Caenorhabditis elegans: one gene and its partners. The protein of the gene in region 2 purifies or fractionates together with the protein of the main gene of each other region. This does not show direct contact. Each region holds a gene or a part of one and is shown on either strand. Other genes may lie near its edges.

What was found.
Region 1: the proteins of mrpl-48 (region 2) and pho-11 fractionate together in Caenorhabditis elegans (co-fractionation; one large-scale study listed by BioGRID). This does not show direct contact.
Region 3: the proteins of mrpl-48 (region 2) and mmaa-1 fractionate together in Caenorhabditis elegans (co-fractionation; one large-scale study listed by BioGRID). This does not show direct contact.
Region 4: the proteins of mrpl-48 (region 2) and ZK856.7 fractionate together in Caenorhabditis elegans (co-fractionation; one large-scale study listed by BioGRID). This does not show direct contact.

The regions. Positions count from the first base shown.
Region 1 is NC_003280.10:9,929,825-9,934,977, forward strand, and holds pho-11 (Putative acid phosphatase 11), read left to right. Parts: upstream 1-2,024; 5' UTR 2,025-2,038; coding exon 2,039-2,131; intron 2,132-2,216; coding exon 2,217-2,411; intron 2,412-2,458; coding exon 2,459-2,552; intron 2,553-2,772; coding exon 2,773-2,855; intron 2,856-2,949; coding exon 2,950-3,039; intron 3,040-3,325; coding exon 3,326-3,533; intron 3,534-3,577; coding exon 3,578-3,753; intron 3,754-4,146; coding exon 4,147-4,287; intron 4,288-4,332; coding exon 4,333-4,473; intron 4,474-4,519; coding exon 4,520-4,540; 3' UTR 4,541-4,607; downstream 4,608-5,153. Other genes in the region: C05C10.2 (DNA2/NAM7 helicase-like C-terminal domain-containing protein), read left to right, coding at 313-507, 624-683; C05C10.3 (putative succinyl-CoA:3-ketoacid coenzyme A transferase, mitochondrial), read right to left, coding at 4,723-5,046.
Region 2 is NC_003283.11:5,592,172-5,595,054, reverse strand, and holds mrpl-48 (Small ribosomal subunit protein uS10 domain-containing protein), read right to left. Parts: upstream 1,350-2,883; 5' UTR 1,346-1,349; coding exon 1,206-1,345; intron 1,156-1,205; coding exon 867-1,155; intron 764-866; coding exon 632-763; 3' UTR 556-631; downstream 1-555. Other genes in the region: crn-2 (Deoxyribonuclease TATDN1), read right to left, coding at 1-152, 214-409; vps-37 (VPS37 C-terminal domain-containing protein), read right to left, coding at 1,538-2,095, 2,148-2,237, 2,292-2,348.
Region 3 is NC_003280.10:7,099,042-7,102,745, reverse strand, and holds mmaa-1 (Methylmalonic aciduria type A homolog, mitochondrial), read left to right. Parts: upstream 1-1,582; coding exon 1,583-1,635; intron 1,636-1,678; coding exon 1,679-2,735; intron 2,736-2,854; coding exon 2,855-2,944; 3' UTR 2,945-3,163; downstream 3,164-3,704. Other genes in the region: farl-11 (DUF3402 domain-containing protein), read left to right, coding at 1-128, 344-428, 476-937, 987-1,213; T02G5.3 (EF-hand domain-containing protein), read right to left, coding at 3,462-3,572, 3,618-3,704. UniProt on the Caenorhabditis elegans protein: May have GTPase activity. May also bind and hydrolyze ATP. May function as chaperone. Likely to have a role in propionyl-CoA and adenosylcobalamin metabolism.
Region 4 is NC_003283.11:10,200,340-10,203,103, forward strand, and holds ZK856.7 (uncharacterized protein), read left to right. Parts: upstream 1-1,758; 5' UTR 1,759-1,759; coding exon 1,760-1,893; intron 1,894-1,939; coding exon 1,940-2,171; 3' UTR 2,172-2,214; downstream 2,215-2,764. Other genes in the region: chpf-1 (EF-hand domain-containing protein), read right to left, coding at 2,378-2,616, 2,662-2,764.

The DNA of each region.
Region 1 (5,153 bases), on a different chromosome or scaffold from region 2:
TGAAACCTGAAAAGAAGCAAGATCTGAAAAATGCCTGAAAAAATTGGCTCCGAGTACGGGCACTTCGGACGGCCAAAAAATTTTGTGACTATTGTCAAATGAAAGATCATGGTTGATAACATAAATTCCCACAATTTCAGAAAAATCGATTCGCAGCAAACAAAGTTATGTTTTTTGACCCGGAACTTACTTGGAGACCTAATAGTTTGATAGTGTTTTGAAGGGCTTGCGGAGCTTGTATAACTTAGTAGATCAAACTGAGACTACGCCTCACTAATATTATTTTTATGAATTACTGAAATTTGCTTTCAGAATGACTGGTATCAAAATCAACGAAGAAATAAGGTATCATTGTCATCGTATCCACTAATTTCAACATCACGACAATCGAAACAACAACGTGCCAATGAATATAATTCACAACACAAACACGTTAAAAGACAAAGTAACAATGATTACGGTAGCCAACGGAGCGTGACTAACTCATTGAATCCAGAATTTGTTGGGGTAAGCAGGGCATTCATTATTTGCCATTTTTTAATGTTTAAAAGTTTATATCATCGCAGTAAAAGTAACTTTTACATACTGTAATCCAAACATTGACTGATCTAATCCGATAATAGTTTCAGAAATGGGATGACGAGACGTATGGAGATTGGCCCACCATCCAGAAATCAACATAAATATCCAATTTTAGTCTTCTACTAGTTGTTTTTACCGTTTGTATTCATATCAAATTTTCATGATGATCTTTTGTTTCCATCTCCAAGCTTTCACTTTTTGGTTGTTTTAATTTTTTTTTTCTGTTGAAATTGAGTGTTTTTTTTCTGTTGAAATTGAGTGTTCCATTTTTATATGAAATGGATTTTGTCTGTCTTGGAAATTCTTTTGAAGACATTGAATCACAGAAGAATGTTTAAACATTTTCAGAAATTGTACGGAAAAAGTTGGGACCAAGAGAATTATGGTAAAATAAAACTTGTAATATGTATTACAATTTAGAAATAAAAAACTATAAATTTTCAAAGTTGGTTTTAAGTGCGTACAATATAATAGCCATTAAAAAGATATAGAGTAACCATGAAGAAAAATTCAACTAATACCTTTATTTTTCTAATTGAGAACTAACAGTTCAAATCCTTTAATGGATACTTTACAAATTAACTGTTGTTTTTGTTGGTAGGACTATTCACGAACGAACTAAAAAACGCATTAAATGGCTCTGCCAACTTTAGTCAAATTTTTTAACAGATTAATGCTTTTTGCAAACTCTCGCTATGCATTGGCGGTGAGAGACGCAGATAATACTTTTTTCTCTGGACGTGAAAAACACAAAGGATAACCGTTTTGCCATCTGCGTCTCTTCTTTCACACGCTATTTTGGCGGTGGACGAGGAATTCTCCTCTTCCAGGATTTTCAAGGCCATTTGCTCACATTTCTCAAGTTTTCTTGTCCGCGAGAAAACATGAATTTTGAGGCAGCCAGCGAGCACGTGCCAAAAATTTTTGGTAAACTTCGCCCTGTGCCAAGACCTAATCAGGATGTGCCTAACGCCTGCCCAAGATCTGGAAAACGCAAAAAAATATATCTGGAAAAAATACTAAAAACTAAAAACATGAATAGTTCTGACAGAGACTGTTTCATGAATTTTGCAACATTCGATAAATGGTACTTTCAAAAGTGCTCAAAGATCACGGCCATGGTCACAAACTTTTAGATAGCATATATTTCGACTTTAGACCAGAATTGATAAAATATCCATTCGATAAGAAAAAATGTTGCAGACCTAGTTTGTTTACATATTCTTTCACACCAATTTTATGAGTTCAGTCTATCATCACTCTGAAAAGTACATGGCTTTATCATGTAATCACGAGAAAATCGAAACGCGGGATAGTTATATCTATTAAACTGACCATATTTTTATTCATTTTCTATCTGAAGATATGATTTTGAAACAATTTTTATGGTTTTTTTAACGAGCTCAACTCTTTAAATAGGTTGTTCTGATATAGGAACATTTGTAGATCAAAAATTATGATGATCTCAATTTTCAGTCTGTTGGCTTCAACAGCCATTTTGGTATTTGCTAATGGGCAGAGCAATGTCAAATTGGAGTTTGTTCAAGCGGTAAGTTATATGAAATCCTAAATGCCAAATTTAGTCCTCAGTGAAAGTTACTTGGGTAGTACAATTTATTTTTAATTATTTCAAGATGTGGAGACACGGAGAACGTGCATCTCAAGTTGATCAATACCCAATTTACGAAAAAGATTGGATTTATGGAGGAGGTGGTCTCGGAGAGCTGACTGCAATTGGAATGGGAGAAATGAACGAACTTGGATGGCTTATTCGTAAAAGATATGTTACTAAATTGAAGTTTTTGACACCAAAGTATGCGTCCAGAGAGGTATACCCTAAAAATGTTAGAACGTGCCAAAATATGATTATTTCCAGGTATATTTTAGATCAACTAATTTCAATCGTACCATTATTTCGGCACAATCACTTTTGTACGGGCTGTTTCCACCAAGCTTGTATGATGTCAAAAGTAGGTTGTCAAAAAATTGATTAAATTTTTTATGCCAAACGGTTCAAACTTAAAGCCAATATGACTTTTTCTGTTGAACGAATAGATAAATTTAGTCCAGTGATATCTTTACTTTTTAATTTTTCATATTGAAATTGTCTGCACGTCTCTTATAAAATTAGCAAAAATCCAACTATTATATTACCTCTAATGCATTAGTTTTGATGATTACCATATTCAGACGTTGACTATCCATACTCCCCACTCACTTGGTTCCCTGGATTCACGTTTGTTCCAGTTCACGTCGATGGTCCGGATCAGTGTGTATGTTGTAAATTTACATTGGTTCTCGAGTAGTCTTAAATAATCTTACTGCGCGTGCCAGTTAAAATTACAAAATTATTACAAACCTTTCCAGGCCGCTAGTCAGAACTGTCCATGCACAAGATACGATCTTCTCCAAGGGCAGATGTTGACTCTTCCGGAAGTTTTGCCAAAGTATACGCAGGTAAGGTTTGATTGAATTATACTATCATCGGTAACCGTATTCACGTTGTGATGGCTTTGTCGGTAACTATGAACAGGCGCCTAAAATGCCTGCCTTCCGCCTAGACGCTTGCCTACTAGTAGACCTACTGTCAAGTTTTTCGTGAACGATTGTTCATTTATCATTCGATCAAATGCGTAAAGCTACAATATGTGAATCTCAAATATTGTAGTTTAAATCCTGACTGCCTGAATGTAGAAAATAGACGGTAGGCAGGCACGTGCCTCCTCTGAATTTCAATTTTTAGGTGGTCCTACTTAACCGTCGTGTCGGTGGATATTACAACATGACATCTGGCCTAGACTCCTTCACAACATACCCAGATACGTGGAAATGCCAGAGAGCATATTTCAACAGAACTATGTACGCGAAGCTTCCATGGTACAATGAAGAACTCTACTATCAAGCCCAAGTTACATATGCTCCGGTTAAGGGATTTTTAGAGGGAAATTTTGGTTAGTTGGGACGAGATTAAAGTCTCAGTGAAGCTTGGTTTCAGAGAATCCTGCTGTCACTTCTTCCGGGCTCGATGTGGGTCTTGAAATCAAAAAAGTTCGATCCGGAGTTATTATCAATGAAGTTTTCAATCGTGCCAATGAAAAATTGAATTGTGCAGAGCTGGGACAAAACTGCACTAGCTATTTGAATAAGCTGAAATTCTATGGATATTCTATTGTAAGAGATTTTAAAGTTTACTCCATAATTTAAGTTCAAAAATGCATGATATCTAGCCACGATCTTACCGTAGTTGGGAATACGGTAGACTACGGTAGTATTACTGTACTTGACTGGAAGTTAAGTATACCATCATAGTAGGTAGGAATCTGTTCATCCCTAGCTACCTCTGCCTACCTCATGCCGAGGCACCAGTCAAGGCTTGTCGGAATGTAGGCAAGCATTGTAGGTAACTCTAAGAAATTGAAATATAAAAAAAAAGAAAAGAAAAGCTAGTTACTTTTCATGCGAATTTTTTCAGGATTTTCAGAAAAAAAAATTTTGACAAAAAAAATGTTTTTTTTAATTTTTGAAATCAATTTTCCAAGATCTCACAACAAATTCGTTTTCCAGCATGACAACAATGTGTACGGTGTCCTGGTTGCTCTTGGTATTCCACAAATCGCTAACACACTTGACGGATGGCCAGCATACGCAGCTGGAATATTTATGGAATTCCACAGAAACACGTCAACAAACGAGAGATTCTTCAAGGTATTCCAGAGAGAAACCAGAAAATTCGAACAATTAAATTTTCAGGTTCTGTACCGTGAAGGAGATGACACTCCGATTTCTGATGTGACAAGTCAACTTCCAATTTGTAATGGAGCCACCTTGTGTCCACTTGGAGCTCTTCAGACTTTGGCCGAGACACTGAAGCCACTTCCAGATATTACTACTGTAAGCTCTTGTTTCCAAAAATTTCGACTTTATAAAAAATTTTCAGCTCTGCAAAACTCCTCTATGAATTACTGGAACTGTAATTTTTGTTGTAACTCAATTTTTATATTTTTTTATGAACTATTTCATTAAAACTCTTTTTGTTCACACAATCCTAAACCGGTATTATAGGCAAAAGACAAAAAAGTAACAAACAACGGACTAAAGAAGTATTTACACATTTCACGGAAATTTGTCAAAATTGACAAATTATCCTTGATTAAGAGGAGCCTGTCCCATTGGCTTCAGATTTTCGGAAATTTCGAATTTGCAAGCGGTGAGTTTCTTGATATCATCTACAGTAAGATCCTTCCTGACTTCGATCAATGTCAATCCGTTCTTTGTGTCCACGTCGAAAACTGCCATATCAGTAATGATTCGGGAAATTACTCCTTTGCCGGTCAGAGGAAGTTCGCAGTGCTCTAGAATTTTTGGCTCTCCGTTCTTCGATACATGCTCCATTACAACGATCACACGGGCTCCGGGAGCAGAGACAAGATCCATTGCACCGCCCATTCCTTTCACCAATTTTCCCTGGAAAATTTTAGAAATTTATTAAGATGGAAGATTAAGCGGAAAAGTATATTTTTATGAAGTTGTCTAAATTTTTTGTTTTTGGGGGTTTTTCGTTTTTTTTTTAA
Region 2 (2,883 bases):
GAACACTTCTTTTTGCACATCTTGTGGAGAAAAGTTGCGATTAAAATCGAGACCACATTCGCCAACAGCCACGCAACTCGGGTTTTCTTGTAATTTTTTGAGAGCTTCCAATGTTCCATCATTCCAATCCTTGGCATCGTGCGGATGAACGCCTAGGAATTTTAAGTTATTAAATTGATAACGAGGGCGTGATTGAAAGTTTCGGTAACATACCTGCAGTAAAATACAAAAATCCCGGATACTTTTCAACGAGATCTGCACATTCATGACTAATTTTTTCGCTGGTTCCAGTAACCATAATTTTCGACAACCCGGCTTGCTTGGCACGATCGAGCACATCATTCAAATCCTTTTGATATGAAGGATGACCCAGATTGGCTCCGATGTCGACGAGTTCGTACAACGCCATCCTGGTTATTCTTGATGATATTCCGAGAATTCTGATATGATAACAATTTGAAAATAAGCGTTAAAATGAAGGCGAAAATCGAGAAAAAGGCATTGTAAAGGCAAAAAAGTCCATTGAACAGAGAATATTAATATTCAAGAAAATTTCAAAAAGAATTTATCAACAGCAACAGTGAAAACTAAATGACTATAGGAAGTTATAGACTAAATAAAAAATTAAATTTTACTCCCATCCGAGATTGCGGCGTACATTCGGATCATCCAATGCTTTGAGTTCTTCTTGCTTCTGCTTCAATAACAAATCAGGAATATATCGGGAGTCTTCATCAACTTTCTCGTGTTCTTTCACCGTCATCTGAAGAATATATTTTGATTGAAATAAATTTCATCATATTTCATGTTATTACGACATCGAAAATTGGCTAATTTTACGAAATCTACATTTTTTTAAAACCTACAGTAACTCCAATGGGAATATGTGCTCGAATAATTTGACTGAAAAGTGAGAATCGGGGAGCGGCAACATCACTGAGACGGACGACGCGATCGTATGTGGACATATCAATTTCAGATTCGGAAACCGTCGAGTACGGCTTATAGGTGATTGCTTTTTGTGTTTGAGCAGCGACAGCATAACTATCCACCACGGTAAATCCGAATCGTTTCGCAGTTTTATGAATGTATGCTTGATATTTTTCTAGCGATCCAAAGTCGTGTCCTTGAATTCGGACGTTAATTGTGTTGTACCTGAATTTTTTTTTAAATTTAACAAATTTTTGAGAACTTGGCGAACGTACTCTGGAAACTCTCTACTATCTTGAAATTTCGGCTCGTAGAGCAAACTGGCGTCACGCTCTCCAACAGTTTCTCGTAGCGATGCGAGTCCTCGATTCTGTGAGATCACGCGAGATAATAAGGAGACCGCTCGGGATGACATTCTGCTTGAAAATTCAAAAATATTTTTATAGAGGATGTTGAAAAAATAGTTCAAATAAAAACGGATTCAACCTGAACTTGTGAAAATTTTATGAATTATTCAAGATGATTAATTTATTTTTTCAAATATTTACAAGCGATGACCAGTTTGTCGGAAAAGAATTAAAGAATCTATAAAAGCGAGCGAAAGAATTCAGAAAAATGGATGACGACCAGCAGAAGGTTGAGAAATATTTGGATATCCTGAATAGCCAGATCCGAATTGAATATTTCCTATTCCAGGCATGTGATTTCCTGTTGGGTATCCAGGCTGAGCGTGTGGCATTGGAGGAGGTACAGTTGGTTGAGCATATGAAGAATACGTTTGTTCACGAAGAAGTGCTGCGAGACGGTCAGACTTGATTTTTCGTAGATGAGCAATTGTCTTCTTATCTTTGAATTGCTTCAGGAAAATTTCCACGGATATTTCTCCATTTTCAAATTGTGTGAATAGGGCTTCTGCATCATCATCAGCTTCTTGTGCGGCGACTTGCATCAAGCTCGATGTTGTATCAAGTGATTTTGATGAGGAAACAGAGTCCAATTGACTTTTCAGCACGGCAACTTCTCCTTGGAGCTTTTTTACTTGGTCGTAGAGATCAACCGTTTGCGTTTTGGCAGCATCGATTCTCGGCTTTTGAGCTAAATTCCATTCTGCTAATGATTTATTTGCGGCAAGAGCTGATTCCTTATCAGTCGGCATTGAGCGGACCTGAAAAGTTATCCAGTTAAAATAAATCACCTGCTGAATATTTTTTACAAACCTGCGGGAGATTGACAATAATCGATTCTAAAAGGGCATCATCGTCTAGCAACGAAATTAATTGTTCGTTTGTCATATTCCGGAGATTAGCCTGCAATTGAATAACGAATTTTTAAAAATTCTAAATGTAAAAAGTAAAACTCACTGAAGCTGCAGATACGGCGACGTCGACGTGTGACTCGTACGGGTTTTGACTAAACATTTCGCCCTGAAAATTAATTAAATAAAGAAACAGGAGCATAAATAATGATTTGGAAGATAAAAATAATTGAAGAAAGTTAAGAAATCAATGGAAAAGGAAGAAACGTTGTGAAATTTTCATGAAATGGCAACAAGAAATGTGTTTAATGAAAGATCAGGTTCGCTGAAGAGACGCAGGCATATTTCTGCAAACACTTTAAACTACGCGCATTGCGGAAACATTAAAGTTTACGACGCATTTATTGAATGAATTGAAGGTTTTTAAAAGTCACATTCCTTATTCAAAATATGCTGTATTTATTGTATTTGGATCCCTTCAAAAGAATTAATAATCAGGCAAATTGAAATTTTAAGATTTTTGTGCGGAAAAATACGGTAAATGCAAAAAGGTGTTCGCCTTCAAAGAGTACTGTAGCTTCCAGGTATTTATAAAATATACTTAAATATTTAGCGGACAGCGTTGTAAAAACAACTGGGCTTTTTTTTCGATTGCCAGTTATATTCCGAGAAAATTTATTAATTATACTTCGGGGATA
Region 3 (3,704 bases), on a different chromosome or scaffold from region 2:
CACTATCAGCAATTCTTCTTTTGCTAGTTAAGCACTTCAAGCTGAATCACATTTATCAATTCGAATACATTTGCCAACAGATTGTATATGTGAATGGAATTCCCTTGATTTTAAAGTTTCTCGATCAGGTATGTCACTTGTTGCTCTTTTGCAAAGTTCCAAAAGCGATCTTGCCTCACCAAAGTTCATTTGCCGCTCGATCTATCCATCGCCCCACCCTTTTCTCTGCGTTTCTCATTCTTCAATGAGTGGCATGTGAAATATACGTGCAGACTTTAAAAATTGAAGCCCTTCCCTTCAAAATCAGATTCTTCTTTCTGCTTTTCATTTCATTTTGTTACAGAACACAAACAAATTAATCCAATCAAGACATGAAATCTACGCCTACAACTATCCACAATGTTTGTACCATTATGTCAGAAATAATGGTGAGTCTTAATTATTCCAAACTAAATTTTTCGTATTCCTTTTTCAGAAGAATGGCCAATTTTGACTCAAGACAATATAGAAGAACCACGTCCACCTGGCGCTGGCCCGTATTTCATGTGGCGAAATGTTTTCTTCGCAATCAATCTCATTCGTCTACTCAACAAATTGGTCAAAGCTAAAAACGATCGAGTTAAAATGCTGATGGTGTTCAAATCTGCTCCAGTTTTGAAGAGACTTTTCAAAGTACGAGTATCGGTACTACAACTTTACGTGCTGAAAGCGATCAAAATGCAATCACGATACCTTGGACGCCAGTGGAGAAAAAGTAATATGGACATAATTTCGGCGATCTACTCGAGAGTTCGACATCGAATGACCGATGATTGGGCGTTTGCTTCTGATATCAAGAGAAAGTGTGATTATCAAAAAGAAGACAGTTTGATCAAAGCAAGCATCGAAAGATTCCATAGTAGACGATATTCGGCATTATATCCTCAATTTGCTATTGGTAAGATTAAAATAACAAAAGCTTATAGCAACAAAAATTAAATTTTCAGAAGTGAATGATGCTCCAATGCCTGGTGACGACTACCTGAATCGAGTTGATATGAGAGATTTTGAGCCCGTTGACACGTGTGCTCACTCTGTTCTTGGTGCAAATCTGAAACTTGGACGTCATTTTAAGAAAGATTACGAAAAGTGGCTTGAACAGGAAGTCTTCAATGCGAGTATTGATTGGGATAAACTTCTGATAGAGACACGTGGAGTGGAAGATCTTATGTAAATCGATTCGATCCCGTTTCCACTGAACAAAAATCTGTAAATAACTAATTATTAGTTATTAATTCTTCTTTAACGATAAAAACGAGTTCATCTTTATTGTTCCCTTGTTCCCCAATGATAACTAACTTGTAAATCGAAATTTTGTTTGAAATTTTAGATCTCCCCATGCCCCCTTATACTTTACCAACCATCATTTTTCGAAAATATTTAATTTTTCCTTGTCAGAACCAATAATTGGACTAAAACCGAATGAATTCAATTGTTTACATAACATCGTTGTTTTGTTATTTTGATCATTGAAACGTTTCAACACTTGATATCTCTTATTTCTATTACTATGCGTTTTACCAAGTCTATCTTATTGTTTCAGATGGTAGTAAGATCATTGCTTCGGGTATCCAGACTCACTTCAGCTAGTTGTAGGTGAGATTTATTATCGTTAATATCAAGAAAATAGAATTTTCAGACACGCATCGTTAGCAGTATCTTCAACTCCAAAACCCTATATTCCATCAGTCACTGGAGTTCAGAAATCAATGCCATTTGATAATCTATTAGAACAATATTCTCGTGTTCATTGGGATGACTCTGTCACATATGATGATCCAAATGTGCAGAAACTTTTCAAATCATTGATGAGCGGAAGTCGAGCTGCCCTGGCTTCTGCAATCACACTAGTTGAATCTCGCCATCCGACAAAAAGAGCACAAGGAAATATGTTGTTGAAGATGGTTTTAGATGAAGAACGAGAGAAATACAAGAAATTCGGGAGAGATTCTATGATATTTCGAGTAGGAATCTCTGGTAGTCCAGGAGTAGGAAAGTCGTCTTTCATTGAAGCATTAGGAGCAGAATTAACCGAAAATCGAGGAAAGAAAGTTGCAGTTTTAACAATTGATCCCACTAGTGCCATGACGGGAGGATCTGTTCTTGGAGATCTTACAAGAATGCAAGAATTATCTCGTAATCCCAAAGCCTACATTCGTCAATCACCAACTTCTGGATCGCTCGGTGGTGTCACTCGTGGAATTCATGAAGCTGTGATCCTCTGCGAAGGTGCTGGATACGATATTGTTATCATTGAGACTGTTGGAGTAGGTCAATCTGAAACATCCGTTTCCGATATGTGTGATATGATGTGTCTTCTGTTGTCACCTGCTCATGGAGATGAATTGCAAGGTGTTAAACGAGGTATTATGGAGATGAGTGATTTGTTGGTTGTGACGAAAGATGATGGAGATTTGAAAGCGAAAGCCAAGATGACACAGGCTGAATACATTTCCGCGTTGAAATTCATGCGACCACGACTCGATGTATGGCGTCCAAAAGTTATGAGATCCTCAATTATGGATAAAGAATCTGTATCAGAAGTTTGTTCGAGTTTGTACGAATTCTGGGATACAATCGGAGAATCAGGAGATTTGGAAAGAAGGCGACAGGATCAAATGAAAAAATGGATGTGGAATCATGTTAAAGACGAAATTATGTCCGTTTTCCAAAAGCATCCGAAAATAGCACATTTGGTACGTTTTTGTTCTTAAAATACACCATCAAAACGATATTTCAAAAGAATTTGCAAAAAATATAATACTGAATTAAAAAAAAATACTGTTTGATAAATTCTAAATTTTCAATTTTACAGGCACCGAAACTGGAAAATGAAATTCGAAGTGGAAAAATCACCCCTGGTCTGGCTGCAGAAACAATGATCAGAACGTTCTTCGGCGTCTAGGCAACTCCTCATTTTTACCCCTTTATAACTCTACATTTGTAAACCACCTGTTCAATTGCAATTTTTTATTGTATTTTCTCGAGACTCACCAGTGTTTAATGTATTCATTAGATCCAATGTATTTAGACTTTTTTTTTGTGAATTTTCAAAACTAGCCAATCTTCTAGCCATAAATTACAAACATAACGGGATAAATAAAGAATATTAAATATTACCCGATTCGTGTGTTAAATTATTTTGCAGTTTCCCTAACTAACGTTTCAGCCAACAAAGCAATCTCAACCGTCATGAAGAGAGATGCTATAAGGACGTCGGAAGTTTAGCCTTAGAACTTTGAAAGCTGCTTTCAGGAGTGTGATTTATCTATTAGTTTGGGCTGTCAAACTATCCATTGGAATTATTGTTCTGGCATTATTTCACTTTGCGTGGGATTACATAGTATTTGGGTTTTTTTGAAAAATTAATATTTATCTATGATATCAATATTTCAAACATTTCAGATTAGGCTTGGGTATAATTATGCTTTGAGAAGAGATGGTGATGTTGGATTTGATGATTTTGTAACTTTTTCCAGAGTATAAACAAGTTGAGCTTCTGGATCTGTGACTGTATAGGATGCCACGAGCACCTAAAAATAAAAATTTGGGAGAATGTAACAAAACATTGAACATACCCATTCACTGTCAGAATCTGCAAGTCTAATCAGACTGTCAACTTGATGAGGAAAATTAATTTTCAAATGTTCCCGAGAGCTCAGCTG
Region 4 (2,764 bases), 4.6 Mb from region 2:
TCACAATAATAGTAGTTTAATCGGAAAAAAACACATTATTCGTATTTGAATCAGCCCACAAATATTCGTGCGGAGTTTCAAGACCAGTTCGTTGAAACTTGAATTTGAATAATCGGATGCTGGATCGTGACTCAATAATTTAGAATGACGTCAGATTCTATGGCAACTAATTTACTTTGTAGATTAGTCATGTACAGATCCCCGAAAATTTGGTTTTAAGACCTGAAATAAGATCTTCAGTTCATTCGATTTATTTTCAAAACATTGTTGAAATCAGGACCAAGGAAGTAAATGAATAAAACTAGATATTTATTAGATAACCGTCGGAGGATCAGAATTCTGATCAACACTTTTGGCACAACAGTATTTCAAAGTGAAGAGCTCATTTCTCTCTTTTGTACCCTTTCCTGAAGTTAAATTATCATCTTCAGACAAAATATCATTCTTCCATTACTGTTTTCATAAGACAATTAAATTTTTTATACTGGCATAAAATTTTTGTCTAACTCTCAAAAACTAGTCTATCTCTCTACTGTAACCGAACAACAACAAAACACCAAAAGATTAGAAAAACTAGAGTCACACACGTGGTGTACTTTATTTTTGTGATTTTTGTGACAACAATAAGAGAACATATACCAGTTTTCAATATTCGGCTTCATGGAATACTGTAACGCGTTAACCTTTAAATTGTGAAATCTGATTAAACATGGAAGATTGTGTTGAATATGAAATTTGGAAAAGAAATACTCGGGAACAGTATTTAAAAGTTCAAAATATACATAAAATGATCGTTTAGGTTCGAGCCTACATCGTCGAATATCGTATTAAATTACTTATGTTTTTATTGGTAAATTGCCAAATTCTAGAAATTTCTAGCATGTTCGAGCCCATGTTCAGATGCTTAGATATAATTAATAGAAATACAAATCGACTAGAACAATCGTAAAAAATTGTTTTATTTTGAAGTTTTTCTATGTCGTAATATTAACTTTTAATGACAGTTCATTTTCTTTCAGTCGCGGGGTGCTCATTCTTTTGCATTGTTAAATTGATAAAATACTTAAAATGTCGATACAACATGTAGGTGCTAAGATGTGTGCATGCGATGCATGAGTAGCTTCCCGAAGATCACCTAGTCCAACTATGCCTTCTTTACTAGCCCAAATGTTAATTGACATCGTGTGAACGTAGTGTTAGGATGTCACCAGTTACGCATGCCTACGTCTGTAGGCTCTTGTGCTCCTACATGGTATACTTAGTATGAATACAGATATCAGTGCCGATCCTTGAAAATGTGAGAATGTGGTCGTCAAAACAAAATTCACAAATGACACACCAATTGCTTTTTCGTTTAGTCGGTGTTTGTTTGAAAACAAAACTGATTCAATGCTTCATTCATTTGTCTTCTTCTTTTTGATTTACTTTATCGTTGTTTTGTGTAACAACACCAAGGCTCTCAAGGACAGCCCGTATCGATCGCAATTCGGCCGCTGTGGCAGACTACCCATTCACCACTGCGACCGATAGACCGACTACTACCTGTTTATACCCAATTATTCGTTCTCATGTTTCTTTTTATCCTTTTTACTGTTGAATTACCAACAGTTGAACAATCAAAATATTTTCTATAATAACAAAATTTCTCTTCCTCCATTCTTTGTACCTTTCCAATGTATTTCTTTTGTGAGAACACCAACGTTGCTGATATTTTGCCATATCAATAGAACCATTGTAGTCTACAGTATACTTTTTTAGAATGCGTGTCGCAGTTATTCTTCTGTTCTTTTTATCTGTCGCTCTCGCATGTGACATCATTGTTCATTTGAAATCGGACACAGACAAGAAATTCAGCGGACAAATTGTTGCCAGCAATGGAAAGAAATCTGAAAGGTTTGTTCGGAGGACATCAATAGAAAAATTATGTTTTCTTTTTCAGATGGAGCTATTTGAAGAAGCTTCAGAAGAACACCTTCCAACAGAAAGCCGATGAATGTGGACTCAAGGATTGGGAGATTACTACTTGGGATGATGCTGGAAAGCCAGTTGCTACCGTAAAAGTCACTTTGGATGGAATTGGAAGAGTCACTTACAAGGTTGGAGATGATTTGAAGGCAGTTCAAAAGGATCGTCAAGGAGCCATCTGCAAGGGACAATGTGCTCCTTTGTAAATGTTTGAAAACTATTAATCAATGATAAAACTGATAAAACATTCATTTTTCTTTGTCAATTTTGATTTCACACGAAAATTGATAAACAACTTCTGAGATAGTTTGTGTCTTCAAGGCAAAATGGTGAGAAGTGACAAAAATTATGTACAGGTAAGAGAAAATGGCAAACTGAAAACGAGACTAGCAGGGGAATTTCTTGTAAAAGCTTAGTTTAGGAATCGAATCGACATCTTCTCCTCAATATCAGTTTTTTCCATTGCTCGACAAAACTCATCAAAAGAAATTTTTCCATCACGATCTGCATCAGCTTCCTCAATCGTTCGATCAGCAATCTTGTCGAGTTGATCAGAAGTTATATTGGCACCAACCATACTGTTCAGAATGACTTTGAATTCTTCACGTGTGATGTAGTCGTTTTTATTTAAATCGTACATTTTGAACGCAACTGAAATAAAATTAAATAATTAAAAACTTGAAAGAATAATCTTACAAAGCAATTTGTCTTTTCTCGAGTTGAGAGCATTTTTCTTTACTCTTGAAATCGGTTGAAAGTGTGCAAGAATTCGAACAAATTGACGAAAGTTCAACTGTTG